Linked DNA regions of Drosophila melanogaster. The protein of the gene in region 1 interacts with the protein of each later gene in a pairwise test. Each region holds a gene or a part of one and is shown in the gene's direction. Other genes may lie near its edges.

What was found.
Region 2: the proteins of Ufm1 (region 1) and Ufsp1 interact in binary tests that used the Drosophila melanogaster proteins (3 or more experiments, as listed by UniProt).

Annotation. Positions count from the first base shown.
Region 1 is NT_033778.4:16,948,900-16,955,310, forward strand, and holds Ufm1 (Ubiquitin-fold modifier 1), read left to right. Parts: upstream 1-2,937; 5' UTR 2,938-3,154; intron 3,155-3,252; 5' UTR 3,253-3,338; coding exon 3,339-3,602; 3' UTR 3,603-3,682; downstream 3,683-6,411. Other genes in the region: mute (muscle wasted), read right to left, coding at 1-1,191, 1,253-1,581, 1,642-1,775, 1,843-2,851, 3,705-4,176, 4,237-5,305, 5,360-5,690, 5,756-6,256. UniProt on the Drosophila melanogaster protein: Ubiquitin-like modifier which can be covalently attached via an isopeptide bond to substrate proteins as a monomer or a lysine-linked polymer.
Region 2 is NT_033778.4:6,972,185-6,978,753, reverse strand, and holds Ufsp1 (UFM1 specific peptidase 1), read left to right. Parts: upstream 1-3,620; 5' UTR 3,621-3,884; coding exon 3,885-4,463; intron 4,464-4,525; coding exon 4,526-4,651; 3' UTR 4,652-4,716; downstream 4,717-6,569. Other genes in the region: vimar (visceral mesodermal armadillo-repeats), read left to right, coding at 154-1,062, 1,152-1,538, 1,597-2,201; Cyp6u1 (cytochrome P450 6u1), read left to right, coding at 4,925-5,966, 6,025-6,449. UniProt on the Drosophila melanogaster protein: Thiol protease which recognizes and hydrolyzes the peptide bond at the C-terminal Gly of UFM1, a ubiquitin-like modifier protein bound to a number of target proteins.

The DNA of each region.
Region 1 (6,411 bases):
GAACTACCAGACTCAGAGTGCGATGTGGTGGCAGGTAATGCCGCTGCCGATTCCGATCTATCTTCGGTGGTGGTGCAGTTCGCCAGCGTGGCCACAACATCCAGCTTGCAGTCCTCATCGCTATCGAATTGTGTTGTGATCACGTGCTGTGGTGTGTTGCCAGCACTTAATTGCAGTGGCTCCAGCTCCTCCTCCGATTGATCTGTGTCCATTTTGAGATTTGTACAGAAAGGCATATTCTCGGCACTTTCATCCAGGCTGACTACCTCGACTTTCGTAATAGCTTCAGAGCTGCATTGGTTTGGAGGTTGCTGCTTGGCTTGCGCAATAATTCGAATGCCCGCCTTTGTATCTGCTGCATCCCGCACGCTCTCCTGATCGATCAGCGTGCGCAAGCGCTTTGCACACTCAATGGCTGGCGAAGATGAAGGCTGAGACTCATGGATAACAACCATTGGCTGATTATTGGCACGTTGTCTGCTCTGAGTTTGATTAAGAGGAGATCGGATCTTCTTAGTAGGTGACTTTCGTTTGTCGACTTGAGGGGAACTGTTGGGGGCCGCCGATAAGGGACTCAATCCCGAGTTGTTAAATGCCGATTGCTTGCGTGGGGATATTTCACCAAAGTTTATGGCAGTTTTTTTGGCGTGCGGATGATGGGATTGGTGAGAGTTGCCCAGATTGGGCGTACTGGTCGCTGCATTGTTAAAGCTTGAGTTGGTATACAAGCCGGGATTCAATCTGATTGCATGTGCTCTTAAGCCTGTCTCATCGCACATCTCAATAGATGAGCAGCTGTTCTGCTCATCACTCGTGGTATCAATAATCAAGGCGCGGCTGGCATCATCTTCCTCACTCCGATCCGCGCCATCGTCGCTATCTGTATTGGAAGCCATACTAAGAAGTTTTTCTCCCTGGGCACGAATACCATGGGCGCAGTTTATCGAGTCACTGGAGACGGGTGGCACGTCATGAGATTGTTCATTGTAAATACTGGCAGCCATAAAAGACAGTTTGGCAGGCAATAGGATCTTGGCTCCATAAAATATGCGACCATTGATATACTTTAAGTGACAACCTGGTTTACTTGGCGTAGGTACATCTGTAAACTCTTGAATAGTTTCCGTATATTCTCCCGTTGTATTGTTTTGAACGTCATGCAAATTTATGGTCTCTACAGGAGAAAGGATTCTGGAAATAAAAGACAATGTTACATTAAATCAATCTCGAGTATTTTGTTTACCATTCTTACCTTTTTGGTGGTTTTCCCTGTGGGAATTGTTGCACAAACCAATCGATCAGAAATTGATTGCCCTTGAGCAAGGGCATTATCTTATTTTCAACTTTTTTCATGCTGACATTAGGCATTTCGGCCAACTCGTTTAGACAGGCATAAATCTTCCTGATTTGAGCTGGCTGCTTACTGAAGTAAATGTTAAGTTTGTTGATAAAGTTGGTAGCATTGCATATCATAAAGTGCTCAAAGAATTTTCCCATCTCAGCGGCCTCGGCAGGTAGCAAAAAGTTGAGGAATACTTCAGCCAGTTCGGGATGAGTGGGTAGCAAAATTTCTTCCACTTTCTAAGAACCCCAAAAAAAAATTAGAATGCAATAAGAGTAAGACACTTAAGTGATACATACCAAATACAAAGATGAAACTTTCTCCTGCCTGGGGTCGAAGTTTTGCAAAATACTGTTGAATTTTTTGCAATCATCTAGGCGATTGGCACTCAGCAAGGCCTCCTCTACCTTTTCATAAAAATTCATGGCAAAAACTGAACGTGCAAAATAATAAAATTATTCAAGTTGAATTTCATTAAATGGGATTGAACTAAAACTTACTGGCATCTTTGCGATTGCGCTCTTCTGTAGTATCCGGCTGGAGCATTTGGCGAAGCATCTCCTCCTGCCGGTTGGCTCTTCTCAGCTTCGCCGCCTCATCATCACTCCTAGATCTCTTTGGCTGCGCTGCCGTTTTAGAGTTTGTATTGCTGCAGAACATCCTCAGATCGACCAGAAGTTGAGTGTACAGTTCGAGGGCGAAAAAACGATTGTGCACGACCTGTACCAACTCGCAGTCTTTATATTTTTCGATGTGATGACGCAGGTAGGATTCATAGGTGGTGATTAGGGAATGACAGCGCTGGCTTAGTTTATGGCGCAAACGTTCGCGCAATATATGGTATCGACTGCGGGTTGGTGTTGACCCTTTTCGCGATTTATTGGCGGATTGAACCTTTGGCTTAAAGATTTGGTATCGCGCCCTTTTGGCGTTTCTGCCTGGGACGGAAGGGGTATCCTGCGCAGGCAACAGATCCGGCTGTACGGCCTTGCTGGATTCCTCCAATTCGCAGATTTGTAGTGTGTTAGTGAACTTGTCTACTGTGAAGTTGATGGCTGGCGGAGCATTTTCATCCAATGGTGGAGGAGCAGGCGGCAAGGCCAGCAGACTACTGCACTCGGCGGCGGTGTATAAGCTGCGATTGATGTTCAGTACGTTCTCGGCCAGATTTCCGCCGGCCACCAAGGGCACCGAAACCCCAGAGACCCCGGGTATGTTTCCCGCGCTCGTATTCCCGCCAAAAACATAATTCACATTGATGGTAAGCTGTGGTGGGTTTTCCGCAGGGCGGGGTCTCCTTTGCGCTGGCCTTTTCTTCGGTTTGCTCTCCTTGGGCGGTTCCGAACCAGCAGCACTGCCATTGGGGACCGCAGCCTGACCAAAAGTCTCTGGCAGCAGCAGGTCCTCGCCGACCGCCTCGCGTACAAACTCCAAATAAGAAGCACTAGCCACCGACGATGCTTTCGATGCTTTAAAATTGCGACGTGTGCGCTTTTGATCCCAAGTTTTCTGAAAAATAATAGATTGAAAATTGTCCGCGATTTATAAACACAGCGATGGCACAAGCTATGTATATTGATATCGATAACTTTGGTCGATGGTACCTAGCCACCGATGACCAGTGATTTATTTCGTAAAATAATTCTGCCAACAATCACTAGCAAGTATATTACTTAAAATTTAAGAGAAAAATTAATAAAGTTCTAAACATGTATTCCTAATTAGGTACGGACATAGGTACATTTATGCAAATATTACTCATCACAGACGATAACTCGCTGCCTTGCCTATCGTAATATTGACCGCACTAAAGTAAGAGCGTCAACATATTTTATTGTTTTTAAATAAAATACCCCTTAAAACTATTTTCAAACCAACTAATTTATACTTGTTTAAACTTTAACCACCAGGGCTCAAACACTCTGCCTGTGGAAAACATCGGAAACCCGTTTATTCCCATAGAGTATCAAAACTGACCACGTCTGCACATTCCACTATGAGCAAAGTAACCTTCAAAATCACGCTAACTTCGGACCCCAAGCTGCCCTTTAAGGTGCTTAGTGTTCCGGAGGGAACTCCCTTTACGGCTGTGCTGAAATTCGCCTCTGAAGAGTTCAAGGTTCCGGCGGAGACGAGTGCCATCATCACGGACGATGGAATTGGCATCAGCCCACAGCAGACTGCTGGTAATGTGTTCCTAAAGCACGGATCCGAGCTGCGCCTCATACCCAGAGATCGAGTGGGCCACCAACTAAGCTAGTTTTCCTAATCCCATCTTATTTACCCTTTGAGATTTTCCCCCTTTTTGATGCTTATTAAATGTTAAACAATGTATCCGATAATAACCCATTGTATTCCTTACCTCAATGTAGTATTGCCAGCCACTGGGAAGCTCCATGTGTCGTTCCCGCGGAGTTCTCACCAGCCCACCAGCGAATCCCCAAAGGATGGCGTTAGCGGGCGGTGCTCGACGATGTTCAAAGAAATACTTCACTGGATTGTACTGTTTTGAGTTGCGTAGCTCCGCGATTTTCAAGAAAATTCGGCGGGCAGTCTTTCCACAAATCGTATCCTTAATCATTCGCTTACAGGCAACGCGAATGGGATCTGCACCTTTGCGTAGTTGTCTCTTGGCTTTTACCATTAATGCCAAGTGCTTCTCTAGGCCAATGGCAATAAGCTGATATTCGGATGGTGCGTAAGCGGTGGTTTGAGTCAGTTTCGGTTGAAACGCCATACGGGGTAGGTACTGCGGATACATAAACACCCGGCTATCCAGCATGAGATCCATAATACGAGGCGCCAGCCTGGGAACCTGGCGCGTGTGGCCATCACTAAAATAGTAAATACAAGTTGTACAGCAGCATGTTTTGTTTAAAGTTTCACCAACTTACGTCAGATCCGTTTCCTTATTGATGAAGTCCATCATCTTCTCGTTCTCCTCCTTAAACTCATCACTGGACAGATCATGTTCCCATTTTCTAACCAGCTGAACAGCCTCCTGCAGATTCCAGCAATTAAAACTGGGATCTTTAGTTGCCATTTTGTGCAATTCTTCCAACATTTCTCTGGGCTTCTTGGCCATGGGGTACAACGTAGGATGGGAGTAGGTTTGCAGATAGCTTTGACTGAGCAACTGCGTGTGAATGCGAAGCTGCTGCTGAAGCATATCATGCTGAGACTGGGTAAATCCCCTGCTCCTGGCGAGATGATTGAGGTTTACTGGCTCTACGTTTCGCAGGCTCTCAAACTTTTCCTCATACTCCGAATATATATGTTTCCTAACCGAGATGTATTCCCAGGTGAAGTTCGTATCAAATGGTTTTTTATATCGATCTCCATTGCTTGCAGCTACCACGGGGGGTTCCATTGGATGCAAGCTAGAAAAGTTCTGCAGTGTCTCTTCAGTTAATGGAAGACCAACAGTTGAATCATTGCCTACAACTTTGGCGATTTGGAAGCAATTAGGTTGCCCAGGTATTGGAACAGCTATTAGTTCGGGGGGAACAGTCAGCGCCTCGGAAGGTATGTTTACCACATTGCAAGCGGATCCACCAGTTTCCTCCTGCAGCACAGCCACAGGGACAGGCACACCCATGCCCATTTCGTTCCCTTCGCAAGGAGGCGGCATTAGATTAGGTTGAAAAACGGACAGCTCCTGCTGATTAGCATTTATCTGCTGGCCATCAAAATCGATGTTACGGGACACTTGATCAATGGGAATCATCGAAACGTTGGCACTTTCAACGAATTTTTGAGGTGTTTCCAATTCAATCGATTCCAGAGAGACTCCTTCTTCCAGCAAACCAGCAAACAGCTCAGAGACCAGGTCAGTTAACTCTTTTTTAGATATATTTACATCGCGCAGCTCCTCGGCGTTCTCATATTCCGATTCCAAGTGATCAGCGGCCACATATTCTGGATCGTTAATAGGATCATCATCGTCGCCCTGGACCGTATTGTCTGTAAGATATTAAAGTTAGGGAGAGCATAAAAGCATCCATTGATACTACATACTTAAAGGCTTTGTAAAGTCATTGAGGAACTGCATCCAATCCGCATCGTTGGCGGTCATTTCGTTCTCCACCACATCGCTAGGCTCCACGTCCGGCGGGACAAATTCCGACTGCAAATCCTCAATGGTAGTTTGCTGCAAACAAAATTTGGAGCGCGTTCTAGTGGCAATCCTAAGATCCTCTTTATCCTGAAAATTTCTGTCCAACGGCACCTTGAAACAACCGTCATCAGAGAATTTGATAGGAGATTCCTCATTGGCAGTAAGAGGAGTTTGAGGCGTGCAGGGATTGGAGTCGAAATCCGATGCTGTAGTGTTAGGATCATCATCGGACTGATAATAAAGGAATAATAACAATTATTGAACAACGATCAATTGGCCTCAATGTTTATACTCACATGAAAGTCCTCCTCCTTGAAGGTATACTCCTCGTCCTCCTCATCAGAGTGCAAATCCTCACGTATTAGAGCCTCTATACCATTATTGTCGGTGGAAGTTTCATTGAGCTGGGGCAGCGAGATCCCAGGCGTGCAGTTCAGTTCCCGTGCTTTCGCTCGCGTTAGCTTGGGCACAGATGGAGTGTCCGTTATGATGATGGCACCCCGCTTTTGCTGCTCCGCCGACTCCAACTTCTCCCGCGCCAGCTCGTCCTCCGCCTTCAAAGTGACTAATGCCAGAACATGATCGTTGCGCACCACCTTCCGGACCACCTTTTGCATGTCCTCGGCACTGATGGAGTTCTTCTTGGCCACTTTCCGTAGCCGGCGATCGATCTCCTTGGCATCCTCATCGACCTGCGAGTCCAGGCTCTGGCGATCCACTCGTTTGCGCTTTCGCGGTCTTCGTGGCGTCGAGCTATTGCTCTTTGCAGAGTCCGACTTCTTTGCACTGCTCGGCATTGCGACACTTCATTTATGAGTGAAATTTTAGCTTAAATTCAACCCAACTGCCAAATAAAAGCGGCAGTTTATTTAGGAAATGCCGCCACTATAATGTGCCATATCGATTTGAGGTGGGGCAATCAACGATATTAGTTTGATAGTATCGATTGCAA
Region 2 (6,569 bases), about 10 Mb from region 1:
GGTTTCTTTTCTTACTTACTCACTCACGTTACTCATCATCACCAAACTTTATTCCAATGACCAGGGAAACATTTAGTTGCCAAAACAATAAGATGACCCTTTATGTTGTTCAAGTGCCCTAACTAACCAATGTTCTTTTCTTACCGCCTTAAGCAGCTGAAATCGACGATTTGATTGAAAAGCTGAAGACGACCAGTGTCAGTCCGGCGAACACGACCAACTTGCTCTGCGAGATCTCGGCGACGAAGGACCCCAAACTTTTCGATAAGCACGAGCTGGCAGAGTGCTTTCTGGGCCTCACCAAGTGCGACGACACAAACGTGCGCAAGGAGGCGGCCAAGTGCATTGCGGAGATCACCAAGTCCGAGGTGCAGCGCAAGAAGTTCACCAAGAGGAATATAATAGCCGCATTTCTGGAGTGCTTGCGACAAGTGCCCACGTCCGACGGCAGTATGGAGCTGCCCATACAGATTTGTCGGGCACTGGGCAATATCTGCTACCTAAACGACGAAGCCAGGGACTTAATACTCGAGCTGGAGGGCGATGCTGTTCTACTGCGACTGCTGGACATCACAACCATCGAGGACGTGGCCAATGCGGCGCAATTCATCAAAGTGCGCGGCGGCTTGCTGTCCAACTATTTGCTCGGAGGCGAGGGCTTGGCCAAGCGGGCCATGGAGTTGGGCGTGATGAAGAAGCTGCAAGGCATCATCGACATTGGCGCCTCCAATGTGGAACAGCATGAGGATCTGCTGCTGAACACGCTTCCACTGCTCAGTATACTCACCGAGAACGTGTCGGATCTGAACTTCGACTCTTCCCTGAATATCCAGCTGTCTCGCATTCTGGCCGCTTCCACGAATCCCGATCTTGCCGAGATGTGCCTGGAGCTGCTCCATTACCAGGCGGAGAGCGACGAAGTCAAGCTTATTTTGGCCAAGGACGGTCTGTGCGAAACCATCTACAACCTGCTGGAAAAGTACAAGACTCTGGCCAGCACAAGTGAGGCCAGGGCGTTGATGAAACTCGCCTGCGAACTCATCGTATTAATCCTTACTGGTGGTAAGTTTCGGATCATATGAATTAGAATGTTGTCGACAAATTCTTCAACTTGTTCCATTTCAAAACTAATTATTGTACTATTGTTCTAGATGACTCAATGCACTATTTGTACACCACGCCGCTGCTGAAGAACATGGTCGATTGGCTGGACTCGACGGACATCGATCTGCTAACCACCGGCGTGCTGGCCCTGGGCAACTTTGCGCGCACCGATAGCCACTGCATCTACTTTGTGGAGCAGCAGACCATGAACAAGCTGCTCGAGGTGCTGGCCAAGAACAACGGCGTCAAGGACGATGTGCGCCTGCAGCACGCTCTTCTCTCCGCGCTGCGCAACCTGGTCATCCCGAAGCCAAACAAGAACGCGGTAATCCAGGCGGGCCTGGTGCAGACCATTCTTCCCATGCTCGAAATACACCAGCCACCAGTCGTCTTCAAGCTGCTGGGCACACTTCGCATGACCGTCGACGGACAGGGTGAGTAGTGGCAACAACCGCACGCGATCCGCATCTCTAACAACATCTGCTTTTCCAGAGAAACTCGCACTGGAGTTGCTGAAGAACAAGACTCTGATCGAGCAGCTGGTGCACTGGAGCAAATCGTCGGACTATGCGGGCGTCACCGGCGAGTCTCTGCGCCTCATGGCCTGGCTGATCAAGCACGCCTACCTCAGCAAAATCGCATACGCACTGCCGCGCAAGGGCGATGCACCCGCCGAACAGATTGCCGACAAGATTCCGCTAACGCAAGACTACGATCGCAGTAGCTTGAGCGAGTTCCTTGCCAACGAGGGCACCGTGGAGGCCATGGTCAGCATGCTCACAGCTCAGCACCTGGTCATGCAGAACGAGGCGCTGATTGCCCTGTGCATCCTGTCCGTGGTGTACCTGTCGCAGCCCAGCGAGGCGGCGCAGGCCCAGCTGCTGCAGGACGAGCTGGTCAAGTGCGAGGTCGGCAAGAAGTTGGCCGAGCTCATCAGCAAGTCGTCGGACACGATGACCAAGGAGATTGTCGAGAACCTGCAGAACTGCGTGAACTTGCTCAAATCTTCCGAGCAGCTGGTGGCGCATCTGGAACAGCATAACATCAACGAGCTGCTGAAGTCTATACCCATTCTCACCGAATACTGCACCTTGTAAGAAAACGGGGACTGTCATTGCATTTATCCCAGCACCGCAGGATGCCTCACAGTGGGATGGGTCGATTTGCACGATTGAACATAACATAAATACTTTAGGGGTAAGCAGTTATCTTTGGAAGTTATCTGTGTGGTCTTACCAAGAGAAACGCCAATACTTATTCGTAACGATACAAAGATTAATACGTTGCGCTAATGTGCTAAACTCCACTTTACTACTTAATAACAATTTTGTTAAATTGTAATTAAATCCACTCTCTTGAGATTCACTGACGTTGCACGATTCCAAATAGCCAAAGATAAATGTTTGCCACTATTAGAGCATGTTTTAAAAAAAATCAGCCCACCCTTAGCCACACAGACACACTCAGAACCGGAGAAAATAGTAGTTTTCACCCCAAAGCAACGATTCAGATGTAGACTTGACTGTAGTTTGGTAAGAAGAAAGTGCAGATTCACAAGTTAAGCAGTTAATCAGTTAAGCACACTGGAACACGCGAACACGAGAGGAGCAGAAAGTATTTTTTAGACGCAAGCGTATTTTGACTGCATTTATGAAGAGAATCCGATGTAGTAAGGAGTCACAAATCGTATGAATATTTATAGCATACATACATAACATATACGTATAAATATAATAATATTAATAATTTAGCATATTAATCTTTTCTGTTACATGATTTTTAAGAGCACAATAACAACAAATCGTGGTGATATCGCTAAATATATTTAATAAATGTATTTTATGATTGTACTTATAATTTTCAATCGACCTCTTTTAAACCGTTGCTGGCACAAACCAAAAACGAGAAGATAACAAAACATTTAGACGCACGACGTAATTAAGGTATTTTAATTGGTGCACAGACACATATTGCAAACGGCATCCCATATATTTATTGTAAAACTCGGCGAAGTTATCCAAAATGCATTTTTAAGCTAACTTTAAAACATTAACAAAACTGCAACTCAGTAACAATCAGCAATCCGAAAATAGTTGAAAACCAATAATGCAAATATTTCAATTTTACAAATCGTAGTTTATGGAGTGCTACAAATTTTACCAATTATTAAAAACGATGTACTAATGTTTGGTCACCAAAAACTAAAAATTAAACGAACACAATTCAAGGGGAATGGTGTTAATATATAAAGCGTTGAGACACCCACACACATAAATGCGAAAACATATTTATGAACTCTAAACACAATAATGTACATTTAATAATTCAAATAAAATTTGAAATGCATGAGAAATAAGAGAAAACCAAATAGATGCGTTTAAATTTAGGCGCTACAAACGGGCTGTTATCGATAATTCGATGAGAGAGTTGGTGATGGATAATTGTAGTAAAACAATTATGACAACATTGCTTAATATAAAAATATAAATTTTATCAAAATTTTGGGCGGAATAGCCTTTCATCATGACTCATTCTTATATTCGTTAATTTTATTTTCCGCATTATTGTTATTTTATTTTGGCTGACTTTGTCATTGGTGCATGACGATTCAGCTTGTACCATCTCTAGCCAGAGCAAAAAAAAAAACATTCCAATTTCTTTGCTGCGATTTCACTTTCACAAAACAAATTACGGCTGCCCAAGGTAAATAAACAAAAAAGAAAAGGAGCAGGTGAATCAGGCCTAGGCTATCAAATTACTCAGTTTCGAAAACAATTCCTATGGCGGCGGAAAAGTGTGCAGAAGAGTTTGGGGACTCCTCCGCGGCGTCCTTGAAAATTGTACCAAAGGACTATGCATATCCACTTCTAGAGGATCCGCAAGGCGCGCTGACCACGCCCACTGAAGGCGGGCGGACGCTAGTTACCCGCGGTGGCTTTAACTACTTCCACTACGGATGCGATGGCCACCAGGATGCTGGCTGGGGTTGTGGCTACCGCACCCTGCAATCGGCCATTTCCTGGATCCAACGTCGACAGGGGTCGAGCGGTCATGTTCCTTCCATCCGGGAGATTCAGCAGATCCTGGTGGCCATCGGCGACAAGGGTCCAGAGTTCGTGGGCTCGCGCGACTGGATCGGAACGCTCGAGGAGTTCTACGTGATCGATGTGCTGCACCAGGTGCCGTGCAAGATTCTTCACGCCAAGGAGCTTAGCTCGGACGAGATCCTCGGCGAGCTTCGGAGCTATTTTGAGAAGTACCAAGGCTTCGTCGCCATGGGCGGTCTGAGTGACACCGCCTCCAAGGCTATTACCGGCTACCATTGCAGTGCACGCGGTCGCATCTTCCTGCAGGTGGTGGTGAGTCAGCGAATTAGCTCATTTTATGAACTGGTGAACTAATCGCTCGCTTCCCTTTTTAGGATCCGCATTTCGTAGGCGTGCCCAGCTCCCGGCAGCACTTAATCGATCTGGGCTACGTTCGTTGGGTGCCCGTTGACGAGTTCGCCGGCAGCACGTACAACCTCTGCCTCATCTTGCAGCCGTAGTCGCAACTCTCCGTACCTATTTTAGCAATAAATCCCGCTCAGCTCTTGATTACTATTACTTACTGAAAGTTGCCTTATAGCCACGTTTCTCTTCCATTTTAGCGGCCGATACTCAATGGACCTTATCAATTATTAAATCGGACCGCACGATAATGGCGCTGATAAACCGGCGGCATTGAGCCCCAGAACCTCGACAAGCAGCTACTGCCAGCTGTTAAGCATATCAAACAGCGCGAACATATTGTAAAAGCCGGAAAAGACAGCTGAGTGAGCATGGATCTAATGCACCGCACCCTGCTCACCGCCCTGGGTGCGCTGTCAGTGGTCTACGCCCTGGTCAAGTTCAGTCTGGGCTACTGGAAACGGCGGGGGATCCTGCACGAAAAGCCCAAGTTCCTGTGGGGCAACATTAAGGGCGTGGTGAGCGGGAAGAGGCATGCCCAGGACGCCTTGCAGGATATCTACACCGCATACAAGGGCAGGGCGCCGTTTGTGGGATTCTACGCCTGCCTCAAGCCGTTCATCTTGGCGCTGGACCTGAAGCTAGTCCACCAAATAATCTTCACCGACGCGGGACACTTTACGTCCCGAGGCCTTTATAGTAATCCCAGTGGAGAGCCGCTGTCGCATAATCTCCTTCAGCTGGACGGTCACAAGTGGCGGTCACTGCACGCCAAATCTGCAGAGGTTTTCACTCCGGCCAACATGCAGAAGCTGCTGGTCAGACTGTCGCAAATCTCCTCCAGAATTCAAAGGGACCTGGGCGAAAAGAGCCTTCAAACTATCAATATAAGCGAACTCGTGGGTGCATACAATACGGACGTTATGGCGTCAATGGCCTTTGGACTAGTAGGGCAGGATAACGTGGAGTTCGCTAAGTGGACGCGCAACTACTGGGCGGACTTTAGGATGTGGCAGGCTTATCTGGCGCTTGAGTTTCCGCTCATCGCTCGCCTTCTTCAGTACAAAAGCTACGCAGAACCTGCTACAGCTTACTTCCAAAAAGTGGCCCTGTCGCAGTTGCAGTTGCATCGAAGAAGGGATCGCCAGCCACTCCAGACCTTTCTGCAGCTATATTCCAACGCAGAAAAGCCGCTCACCGACATCGAGATTGCGGGCCAAGCCTTCGGCTTCGTTCTGGCTGGCTTGGGCCCCCTGAATGCCACCCTAGCATTCTGCCTCTACGAGTTGGCCCGCCAGCCTGAGGTGCAAGATCGAACCAGGCTCGAGATTAACAAGGCACTGGAGGAGCATGGTGGCCAAGTGACACCGGAGTGCCTAAGGGAGCTCAGGTATACGAAGCAAGTCCTCAATGGTGAGTACCAAATATTGAAAAGCTCTTTATAGCTCCAATGACTTCACCTTTTTTTTAGAAACGCTTCGCCTGCACACTCCACATCCCTTCCTGCTACGCCGGGCTACCAAAGAATTCGAAGTGCCCGGATCGGTGTTTGTAATTGCCAAAGGCAACAATGTGCTGATACCAACGGCGGCGATACACATGGATCCTGGCATTTATGAAAACCCCCAGCGGTTCTACCCGGAGCGCTTTGAGGAACAGGCAAGGCGATCCCGCCCGGCAGCTGCGTTCCTGCCTTTCGGCGATGGCCTGCGAGGATGCATTGCCGCTCGCTTTGCAGAGCAGCAGCTTCTGGTGGGCCTGGTGGCTCTGCTGAGGCAGCACAGATACGCTCCCTCTGCGGAGACCTCGATTCCCGTGGAGTACGACAACCGGAGACTGCTCTTGATGCCCAAGTCGGACATCAAACTCAGTGTGGAACGGGTGGACAAGCTTTAAAGGAGGCTCTGCTGGAGCATCGCATATTTTGTATTGTTTGCTTTACAAAGCGTTTAAGTTGTTTTTATATTTGTATATGCACCTTTTTCGTTGATTTTCCTAAGCTGTGGACTTGTGTGA